Linked DNA regions of Arabidopsis thaliana. The protein of the gene in region 1 purifies or fractionates together with the protein of each later gene. This does not show direct contact. Each region holds a gene or a part of one and is shown in the gene's direction. Other genes may lie near its edges.

Region 1 (6,403 bases):
TAATAAAAAAGATTGAAACTTACGGAAAATATAATACAGTACAAACTATATATGTCAACTAAACTAAATAACACTTAATTAAATGATGTATATAGATTGCATAACCAAGTATATAATATTATATAGTTAACATTATAAATATAAAATTTCATGTTAAATAACCAATTAACTCTAACGTCAACCGGTGTTAACCAACAAAAATATTCAAAAATAAATTTTTACTTTATTTTTAATATTAAAAATCTAGTTTTACTAGTTATTCTATAATCAAAAAACAATTTTTACATCTACTATAAAAATATTTTGCATATATATTTAATACATTGATTCTTAAAATATTTAGCTTTTTTTAATTTCAAAACTAAACTAAAAATGAAAAAAATGATTAAAATTTTTAAAACAAAAAAAAAACTGAAATTAAAACCAGAAAAATCTTATTAGAAACATATGAGTGAAAGAATCTTTTTTTTGTATTATCAATTAAAATATATAAACTTCTTTATTCATTAGAAAATAAATCATTACAGAACCAAATACACATGACTATATAAGTTTCATAAGAAAGTAATATGAAAAACAATTGAGTATATAACTTTTTAGTCTAAATTTTGCACGGTAATTTTTAAATTCAAAGTAAATGTTTTTTACGAATAATATAAGAAAAAACTAACTATTGATTAAAAATATTTAGCAATTAAAAATTTAACTTCTTAAGAAACTAACTATTATTATTATTATTATGAATAGTTCATATCTTAAAAAAATATTTATTCTCTTAGTTTAGTTTTGAAATTGAAAAAATAAAGTAAATATTATATGAATTAATGCATTATATATATATACAAAATATATTTATATTGGATATAAATATATTTTTTTGTATTTTACAATATCAAATAACATTAATTTTTTTAATACTAATAATTAGTTTTGAATATTTTGTTGGTCAATGCTGATCAACGCTGGAGTTGGTCGACCATTTAACCCGAGATTATATGTTTATGATGTTGACGACTTGTATAATCATACAATCCATATATGTTAAGTAGTTGTATGTTTTTTAGTTTACTTGCATTTGTGGCCAATTGTTGAGTTAGCTGACAATATTTTTTTGAAATATATGTATGATGTCAAAAATATTTTATTTTTTACAAATTTTCATTGTAATATTCAAATTAGGTAGAGACAGATAATATAATAATATAGATATTTAGAAAATTATGATTTTCAATGGAAATGAAAGTACAGACTCATATTTATGACATTTGTTTAAAATAAGTTGGTATGTAAATACTTTTGCTGGCAATTAATATCTAAATTTGTCAGTAATTACTTTTGTCCAGACCACAATAAATATTCGTCTCTATCCAATCCTTGCTCTTCGTGTTTATCACGCGCTATGTTAATTTATGACGACACACAGTTCACTTCGTTATAGCAACGCCGGCACGCTTTTCGTTGTTGGAAAACGGCAAACAATCTGAAAATTAATAAAATAAAAAAACGAGAAAGGCTTTTGGAAATTAATAAAGTTCATCGAAATACAAATATCTCTTCATCTTTTCTCTTTTGCTCATTTCCCAGAAACCTTTGTTTCATTTGCTTCGTGTGCGATCGCGAGAACAAGGGAAAATTAGGGTTTATATCCTCAAGCTTTTTCGAACACCATTGATCGTTGATCTAAGATTTTTCTTCTAGTCGAGTTTCTTAAGGTCTGGCTTCATATCTCTCTGTGCATGGTGTCGTTAAATCTATGCAGCGATGTCCTGTTCGATTTCATTTTGCTTCTAGGGTTTAATGATTTGTGCATTTGTTCGTTTTAGGGAACGATTCTTCTCAGCTTTGTGTTACTTCATCGTGATTTTGTTTTGTTACTACGAGTCGTTTCTATTTCTTAGATTATTCGATTAGCTGAGGTTTTTTGAAGATTCTTCTACAGATAACTACTTCTCTCGAATCGATTTGCATTTGTTCTTCATTTTTAGTATTTGGATTTGTTGACTCTTTCTCTCATTTCTTACATGCATAGCTGCAACTTATTTATGGAAAACGAACTTGTTCGAACTGATATTTATTACGATATCCAGGGGCTTTGATCAAACTCAAAATTGAAGACCAATACTTTGAAGGATTCTGGTAAAGCTAAGCAACTATGAGTTCAAATTCATGGGCTGATGTTTCTGAATCAGAGAGGGCACCATCTGGTGGTGGTTGGGGTTATTCTCGTCCGTCTCGAACCAACTATGTTCCTCCACATCTTAGGAGCCGTACACCATCTTCGGAGTTTGTTGCTCCTTCACCTGGTAATAATGATCGTGGGGGATATGGTGGTGCAAATAGTGGTTATGGTGGTCGAGGCCAAGGTTATGGTGGTCGAGGTTCGGGCTATGGTGGTAGAGGAGGTCCTGTGGGCGGTTGGAATGCCAGAAGTGGAGGTTGGGACCGTCGGGATACTGAAACTAACCCGTTTGGTAATGATGGAAATGCAGACCCGGCTGTTAACGAGCAGGAAAACACTGTCATTAACTTTGAGGCCTATGAAGATATTCCCATCGAGACAAGTGGGGATAATGTGCCACCTCCTGTTAATACATTTGCAGAGATAGACCTCGGAGAAGCTCTCAATCTAAATATCCAGAGGTGCAAATACGTGAAGCCGACCCCTGTGCAGCGTAATGCAATTCCCATATTGGCTGCAGGAAGGGATTTGATGGCTTGTGCTCAGACAGGCTCTGGGAAGACAGCTGCCTTTTGTTTTCCGATTATTAGTGGGATTATGAAGGATCAGCATATAGAGAGACCACGTGGAGTTCGGGGAGTCTATCCTCTTGCTGTCATTCTCTCACCAACAAGGGAATTGGCTTGCCAGGTCTGAATAACTGGTATAATATCATAGTTTATATGCATTTGTTGATCACATGAAGATTTCATGAAAAGACATCTCTTTTATGATTTTTCTGCAGATACATGATGAAGCCAGAAAGTTCTCCTATCAAACTGGAGTGAAAGTTGTGGTTGCTTACGGAGGAACACCAGTCAACCAACAGGTTTCTGTTACTGTTTTATAAATGCTTCATTTTCCACGCCTTATAGACTCTTGTGTATGTGTGTGAGAGAGAGATTACTTGTGCTTTTCCAGGCTGTAATTATACTTTAGTTTTTTGGTGCGCCTTGTTAAATTTTGTTCTGACAGTTGCTTTAGCTCTTAGTTTGGATGATGAAATGTCCTGGCTGTTCTTTGCTCTGTAACATACCATTACTCCTCTCCTGTATATGTGGGTTTATAATAATGAACAATTGTGTCCTTAAGATGAAAAGCTGCAGGAATCAGCTACATTTCATGATAGTAAGTCTAGTGCTCTTGCTAATTTGTTCTTGTTTTGCTGTTGTACAGATTAGGGAGCTTGAAAGAGGAGTTGATATTCTTGTTGCAACTCCTGGGAGATTAAATGATTTGCTTGAGAGAGGTAGAGTCTCATTACAGATGGTAAGATTCTTGGCACTTGATGAGGCGGACAGAATGCTGGACATGGGTTTTGAACCACAAATCAGGAAGATCGTTCAGCAGATGGACATGCCTCCTCCTGGTGTCCGGCAGACAATGTTGTTCAGTGCTACATTTCCTAGGGAGATACAGGTTTGTGGAACTCGTTCACATGCCATTTCTATGTTTTCTCCTTACCGGAGAAGATTCTCAGCTATCTCTATCTTCAGTCTTTCTTGCTCTGTTAGTGTCTTCATTGTTATGGGACTACGTTATTTGGGTCTTTTGGGTCTCCAGTACAATTGTTCTGAGAATTATTATCTTTTAAATCAACTTGGATAAATCTGACCGAGCACTTATCCTTAACTTGTGTAAATGATCTGATATTTGCATGGAGTGAGGAAGAATATAGCGGTTCTTATGTTAGTGATATGAAAGAACAAGATAGCGATTCATTTCAATGAAATTTAATATACTTGGGAGTAAGAGGGAACTAAGGGTAGCTGCTTGTTGTAGGTCCGTGATTGTTCTATAACTGAAGAAAAGAGTGAGATTTGGTAGGTCTGGGAAATGAGAAGGATGATCGGTACATAATCTTGTTTTCCTTTATTACTGGAGGGTTCAATTCGTTGTCTAAATAATGTTTATTGTTTAAGTTGACACTACCAAAATTTTGGCTCTTAAAATTACAAGATAGAAGTTGCGTACTGTGCAGCAAAGGAATCTTTTACATTCCATATGCACTTAATTATGATTTTGTTTTTGTGTGCAGAGACTTGCATCTGATTTTCTTTCAAATTACATATTTCTGGCTGTTGGAAGAGTGGGTTCAAGTACGGATTTAATTGTCCAAAGAGTAGAGTTTGTTCATGATTCTGACAAAAGAAGCCATCTAATGGACCTTCTTCATGCCCAGAGGGAGAATGGTAACCAAGGAAAGGTAATTTAAATCAATATGATTGGTTTCATGGTTAAAAGTGAACATAGTCAGTACTATTGCTCCTTTCGGTTTCACGATTCTGTTTCATTGTCTCTTTGTTCTATTTGATGCATTGTTGTTCAAGAGCACCTTTACAATCCAATTTATTTTATTCTACAGCAAGCTTTGACTCTAGTTTTTGTGGAGACAAAGAAGGGAGCTGACTCTTTGGAGAATTGGTTGTGCATCAATGGTTTCCCAGCAACGACCATTCATGGTGATAGGTCACAACAGGTTAGTGAGTTGTTGATATCAAAATTAGGATATTGTAGAGTATTCTTCAGTGCAACCAAAGCTAAAACCTTATTGTATTTTTTATGCATACAAGGAAAGAGAAGTGGCACTGAGATCATTCAAGACTGGGCGGACACCTATTTTGGTTGCAACCGATGTGGCAGCACGTGGTCTTGACATTCCGCACGTGGCTCATGTAGTGAACTTTGATCTACCAAACGACATTGATGACTATGTCCACCGTATCGGACGAACAGGACGTGCAGGAAATTCAGGACTAGCAACTGCTTTCTTCAATGACAACAACACAACAATGGCCAAGCCACTGGCTGAGCTAATGCAAGAAGCTAACCAGGAGGTCCCTGACTGGCTGACTCGATACGCATCTCGTGCTTCATTTGGAGGTGGTAAGAACCGGCGGTCTGGTGGACGGTTTGGTGGTCGTGACTTCAGGAGAGAATCTTTTAGTCGAGGCGGTGGTGGTGCTGACTACTATGGTGGAGGTGGTGGATATGGAGGCGTTCCTGGTGGTGGCTATGGAGCAATGCCTGGTGGGTACGGACCCGTACCAGGTGGTGGATATGGAAATGTTCCGGGTGGTGGTTATGCACCTTATGGTAGAGGTGGTGGTGCTTACTATGGTCCTGGAGGATATGGAACCGTTCCTAACCAAGGGTATGGTCCTGGAGTGGCTAGTGCGTGGGACTAAGCTTTAACTTCAATTCTTCAAGAACCGATTATGTTCTCTTTCTCTCTCACTTATCTCTATTGTTTATTATTAGGGAGCAGCCACAGATGTGTATGTTTGCTCTTTAAATGGTTATGTAGTAGACACGAATCGTCTCTTTGTTCAATGTGAAAAAAGAAAACCCCCTAGTAGACCCATATTATTCTCATGAGCTATTTAGTCATACAAAGCAGTTCAAACATTAAAATTGATCCAAGGAAAAGAAAAGTCAAAGGGTTTTCACTATATTGAGGATCAAAATGAGATATAAAAGGAGGTTTAGACAGAGCCACACAGGGGTCATAATAAAGAATGACCAACTTCATAGAGTGGTTTGCCTTACTCAGAATCCCTTTGAATCTTTGTGTCATCTCTATCACAGATTTGGTAAAGGTTTCGTCTAAACAGTTGATGTCATAGTCTGATCAAAGAAGAAGATCGGAACAAAAAAAAAAAACCTATCTGTAAGCAAATGATGGTGGGTGGTGAAGGCGGTTAACCGCGTCTTGTCCTAGGCGTGCATCGAAATTCAGCTAAGAGAGCAATGTGATTAGAAGACCATTCTGGGGAAGGAAGAGCTGTGTCTTTTCTTAATCCATCTTCATCCAGTAATTCCAATAGAGATTCCACCATTAATGTATCCGCTGAAACCCAAACACAAAAAAATCTTCCAATTAAGTTAACTTGTTATTTCTGATGTAGTTGAAAACAAGGACAATGGAGTTAAAAATGGTGAAACCTGTGTAGAATATGTAGTCATGAGTGCCGATGAAGTCCCTTGTACAATTGGTAAACAAAGGCTCGTTTGTATTAAGATCTATTCTCCTTCTGTGTTGTTCCAATCCAAGACCCATTATTCCCTTTCTCACAAACGATGAGTACGCGCTCACCTGAAACCAATTCATTTATCAAATATCCAAGAGAGACGCAAAGATAAGCGGTATAAATTTACTTAAATCGAAAAAAGCAATGTTACCAG
Region 2 (5,477 bases), on another chromosome or scaffold:
ATGGTTATTGAGTTTGAGGAATTTAAGGCTAATATTGTTTAGTTACTTATTAAAAGGTAATATACTTGTTCACCAAGTAGTGTCTTGCTTATATTCATTGTTTAGAGGTTTCTCAACTTGCTATCAATGATACATTCGGCCCAAATTTTTGTGTTGTGGTGGACCTGGTTGCATTTGTTGACTTTAGTCAGCTTGGGCATTTATCCATTTGTGGACATCATTGTTACATTGTAGACCTATGAGATTGATAATATTTATGGTTAAACATTATTATATCGTTTTTCAATTTCCAGATGCGCCAAACCATCCCAAAAGGTAGAAGTCGGATATATGTAACAGAATGATTTGGAGTTATTGAGATTTGGACTTAAGATCATTCGTTAGGCTGAATAGAGCAGTCCATAGAATCCCTGAACATCTCCAATTAGCGTAATCTCAAGTGAAGAATAGAGACTTGGCCCTTTAGATGTCATGCTTATTCTGCACAAACTCAAATAATTCGTTTGTTTTCTTCCAAATTGCTCTAGTAAACTCAAATATTTGTTTCCTCCTCCAATTTTTGTTATCTCTAGGATTCTATGAATATGCGTTTTATTCAAATATTATTAAGAATGTCTCATAGTTAACCTTTTGAGTTGAACACTTATAATAATTGGCACACACATATATATATATATATATATATATATACTGTAACCAGTAGTTTTTGTTTTGCAACTTTGCAAAAACACAAATAATCATCGGCGAATAAGAAATGATTAACCGTAGGAACAGACTGAGCGATGCGTATGCTCTCGATGCCACCATTTGTTTCAACTTTGATGATCAGTTGACTTAAAATCTCTGCACATAGAATAAAAATATATGAAGACAAATCATCGCTTTTGTCGAATTCTCCATGAAAGCTTCCAATTTTCATAGGAAGTGCCATTTACGAGGACATAGTATGAGATGGTGTTAATGTTCATCATAATCCAAATAAATGTTAAAACATTAAGAATATGAAAAAATGATTTGTTATAAATGTAGATAATGAAATTATAAATCTTATTCTAGAAAAATTTTAAATATAAAAAATGAAAACTTTTTTGAAAACTTTCAAAATTAGATAAGAAAATTGTTTATATATAATTTATTATGGTACATGAATAGAGAATTAGAATAACAAAACAAAAAGTTGAAAGAAACACAAAATGAAAAGGCTATACAAGAGAATTTAAATCAGCCATGACGAGAGAGTAACCCAATTAGACTATGGTGATTTAAATCTAAACTTTTTATTTTAGAAAGTTTATATTAAAGAATATAAATTTGAATGTTTGTGGTGTGAAAAAATTCAACTTACCTTTATTGGTTATGTATATATGGATTGAAAAATGAATAAGGAGTTCAAATATATTTTCTGAGCTTAATTTTTTTAAATCATATTAGTGTCATTTTGCGTAGTTTAACAAAGAATCTCGATGAAAATTTAGCGTTGTAAATTTATTTCGTTAAGCAACTTAACGAAGTGTCTTATTTCAAAAAGTCAATAAAATTAGCTATTAAAAATTTAAAACAAAAAGTGAATTAAAATTTGAGTTTTATTTTACCTAAAACAGTATTAACGTGTTTATAATAGCACTTTTTAACTGTTGGAGATTTTCTTTTTCTTTTTTTTGAATTAGAGTGAGATAGTGATCAAGAAAATGAAGAAGGTGTTAGTGCACATCATATAATCCAAGTAAATGTTAAAACATAAAGAATATGAAAAACTGATTGGTTAGAAATATACATTTTTTTTTGTAAACCGATATTAAGTAGAGAATTTAGTATAAAAAATCTTGTTCTAGAAATTTATTAGTATAAAGAAATGAAAGCATGTTTAAAAACTTTCAGAATTAGAAAAAAAATGTTTACATATAGTTTAATATGGTACTTGAATAGAGAAGCAGAAAAACATATAAAAAAAATTGAAAGAAACACAAAACTCAATTTTAATAACAAAAGCAAAAAACGCCACGTCATCGATCCGTGTCGTAAATCAGCACCAAAATACACTTTCAACGGTCAGATTTTAACTATCTCATCTGTCGTCATTTTCGATCTCTCTCTTACACTACTACACACACTCTCTCTCCTCCAACCTAACTATTTTTTATTTTTTATCTTCTCCTTCCACAAAACTTTTTTAATTTTATCTGAAAAATTAAAACAACCGAAACAAAAAAAAAAAACTAAAAATCAAAAATCTCATCACCTTCCTTGCTCTGTATTTTTTCTCTCTCACTAAATCCTCCATGGATCCTTCTCTCTCTGCAACCAATGATCCTCATCATCCTCCTCCTCCTCAGTTCACATCTTTCCCTCCTTTCACCAACACCAACCCCTTCGCCTCTCCAAACCACCCCTTCTTCACCGGACCCACCGCCGTCGCGCCGCCAAACAACATCCATCTCTATCAAGCAGCTCCTCCGCAGCAGCCACAAACATCTCCAGTTCCTCCTCATCCATCTATTTCCCACCCTCCTTACTCTGACGTAAGCTCTTCTTAGCTCATTCTTACATTTTGACTTTAAAGTTAGGGTTTTTAATTTCCACTCACTTTTTTTTTTCGTTGATTAGATGATTTGCACGGCGATTGCAGCGTTAAACGAACCAGATGGGTCAAGCAAGCAAGCTATTTCGAGGTACATAGAGAGAATTTACACTGGGATTCCTACTGCTCATGGAGCTTTGTTGACACACCATCTCAAGACTTTGAAGACCAGTGGGATTCTTGTCATGGTTAAGAAATCTTACAAGCTTGCTTCTACTCCTCCTCCTCCTCCTCCTACTAGTGTAGCTCCTAGTCTTGAACCTCCCAGATCTGATTTCATAGTCAACGAGAACCAACCTTTACCTGATCCGGTTTTGGCTTCTTCTACTCCTCAGACTATTAAACGTGGTCGTGGTCGACCTCCAAAAGCTAAACCAGATGTTGTTCAACCTCAACCTCTGACTAATGGAAAACTCACCTGGGAACAGAGTGAATTACCTGTCTCTCGACCAGAGGAGATACAGATACAGCCGCCACAGTTACCGTTACAGCCACAGCAGCCGGTTAAGAGACCGCCGGGTCGTCCTAGAAAAGATGGAACTTCGCCGACGGTGAAGCCAGCTGCTTCTGTTTCCGGTGGTGTGGAGACTGTGAAACGAAGAGGTAGACCTCCGAGTGGAAGAGCTGCTGGGAGGGAGAGAAAGCCTATAGTAGTCTCAGCTCCAGCTTCAGTGTTCCCGTATGTTGCTAATGGTGGTGTTAGACGCCGAGGGAGACCAAAGAGAGTTGACGCTGGTGGTGCTTCCTCTGTTGCTCCACCACCACCACCACCAACTAACGTAGAGAGTGGAGGAGAGGAGGTTGCAGTCAAGAAACGAGGAAGAGGACGGCCTCCTAAGATTGGAGGTGTTATCAGGAAGCCTATGAAGCCGATGAGAAGCTTTGCTCGTACTGGAAAACCCGTAGGAAGACCCAGAAAGGTAAAATATCATTCCTTTTTGTCTCTGCGATTACACAGTGATTATAGAGAACTTGAATATTTCTAGTCAAATAGATAAGAGAATAAAAGTTGGAACTTTTGTCTTGTGAATAAATGTCACTTTCCATTCTCAACATTGTCTCTTTCGAGCGTGTGTGTGGAGACTAGAGAGTATCTAACTAAATAAATTCTAGAGTTTAATTTATATTCGTGTCTCTGCTTTTGGCCTATACTTAATCTGGTTTTGTGGTGTACTATTAATCTAAGATATCTCTTTGTTTGGTAATCAAGAGCAACTTGGTAGGTGGCTCGCTTTAGCAACCAATAATTGTTCAGTTGAAGTGTGAGAATTACATATGAACTTATCTTTTGAGACAGACATCTTATCAAGTTTTGTCTGTTTTAAGCAGAAATTTAGTTAATTCAGTCAAAGTTCAAGAGTTTGTGTATTTCCAAGTCCACTAGAATTTCTTTGTCTATTATATTGATGAGTTAGTTATCTAATTACATTTATATTATTGCCATTTATAAACATAGAATGCGGTGTCAGTGGGAGCTTCTGGACGACAAGATGGTGACTATGGAGAACTGAAGAAGAAGTTTGAGTTGTTTGTAAGTAATCTAATGAACAGAAACACAATATGGTCCGTCCTTGGTTTTGATACTTAATTGCTTATGCTTGGTTTTGATATCTCATTTATGCAGCAAGCGAGAGCTAAGGATATTGTAATTGTGTTGAAATCCGAGATAGGAGGAAGTGGAAATCAAGCAGTGGTTCAAGCCATACAGGACCTGGAAGGGATAGCAGAGACAACAAACGAGCCAAAGCACATGGAAGAAGTGCAGCTGCCAGACGAGGAACACCTTGAAACCGAACCAGAAGCAGAGGGTCAAGGACAGACAGAAGCAGAGGCAATGCAAGAAGCTCTGTTCTAAAGATAAAGCCTTGACATAAAAAGCTAGCAAGTGGTGGGTTTACTTGTTGTGTGTTACATGAAATTTTTAATCTTATAAGGGTGTTTGCAGGAGAAAAACAAAAAGAACAATGTGATGAACTGATGATGATGATTGTGTCTCTAACCAAACAACAAGGAGAGGTAGGGTAATGTCTGTAAAGTGAATTAGGATGTTACCATTGTTCATGCTTCCCATCTCTCTCCATCGTCCATATCTGTGTAGGCAGCTTTGTTCTTTGTTCCCTCGTGTTTTTTTTAGACTGTTGTGTCTCTTATTCTATTTTGTCTCCTTAGGCTTTTTAGGAGTTGTTGTTGATGTTTATCAAAAACGCTTATGTAATTTTTATGACCACTTCTACTTTTTATGATGGTTTCTTCAAGTCTCTTACGTTATGTAGTTAGAAAACCATTAAATAAAAGTTGCTTATGTCAGTTGCTCTGTTTTAATTTGAAATCCGGTTTTAATTTTAAGTGTACTTATTGCAGAAATTAGGTAGAAGGTATAGAACGGTTTTACTCTTCACTCACACACCATTTAACCAAATTTCTAAATTTATTACTCGATAAACACTTTTTTAACAAGTTTTCAATACTTTTCTCCAAAAAAATTTTGAATTTGAAATAAAGTAGTGTATTTTTCGATTTTGGTTTTATAAATCAACTTTTTTTTTTGAAAAAGTTAAAAAGAAATCACCACCACATTTGCATGTTATACTATAATACCAAAAAATTAATATTCGTGATTTATTTTAAAAATCTGTGAATTAAAAAGAAAAATGAAATGTTGATAAATAAAAATAAAAACAAGGAGTAAAGGTGGACCCATATCGGTTGACGCAACTGATTCTGAACCTCTCGGTCGTTCGTTTCTACTCTTTCCAAGCTCTAGCCCATGGTGGTGACCTTCTTCTTCTAACCGCGAAAACCATCTCTATCTCTCTTATCTTTCTTCTCCGCCAAGTTTCTCTTTGTAATTTCTTTCTTCTTCCTCCAGATTCTTCAAGCTTCCTTTACCATCTCGCGA

What was found. Proteins that work in one complex are often made in the same cells at the same time.
Region 2: the proteins of AT3G58570 (region 1) and HON5 fractionate together in Arabidopsis thaliana (co-fractionation; one large-scale study listed by BioGRID). This does not show direct contact.

The regions. Positions count from the first base shown.
Region 1 is NC_003074.8:21,654,947-21,661,349, forward strand, and holds AT3G58570 (P-loop containing nucleoside triphosphate hydrolases superfamily protein), read left to right. Parts: upstream 1-1,537; 5' UTR 1,538-1,712; intron 1,713-2,087; 5' UTR 2,088-2,152; coding exon 2,153-2,869; intron 2,870-2,963; coding exon 2,964-3,047; intron 3,048-3,394; coding exon 3,395-3,637; intron 3,638-4,256; coding exon 4,257-4,424; intron 4,425-4,583; coding exon 4,584-4,697; intron 4,698-4,791; coding exon 4,792-5,406; 3' UTR 5,407-5,866; downstream 5,867-6,403. Other genes in the region: AT3G58580 (DNAse I-like superfamily protein), read right to left, coding at 5,920-6,068, 6,164-6,314, 6,401-6,403.
Region 2 is NC_003070.9:17,973,104-17,978,580, reverse strand, and holds HON5 (high mobility group A5), read left to right. Parts: upstream 1-1,917; 5' UTR 1,918-2,279; coding exon 2,280-2,519; intron 2,520-2,604; coding exon 2,605-3,498; intron 3,499-4,034; coding exon 4,035-4,109; intron 4,110-4,202; coding exon 4,203-4,433; 3' UTR 4,434-4,939; downstream 4,940-5,477.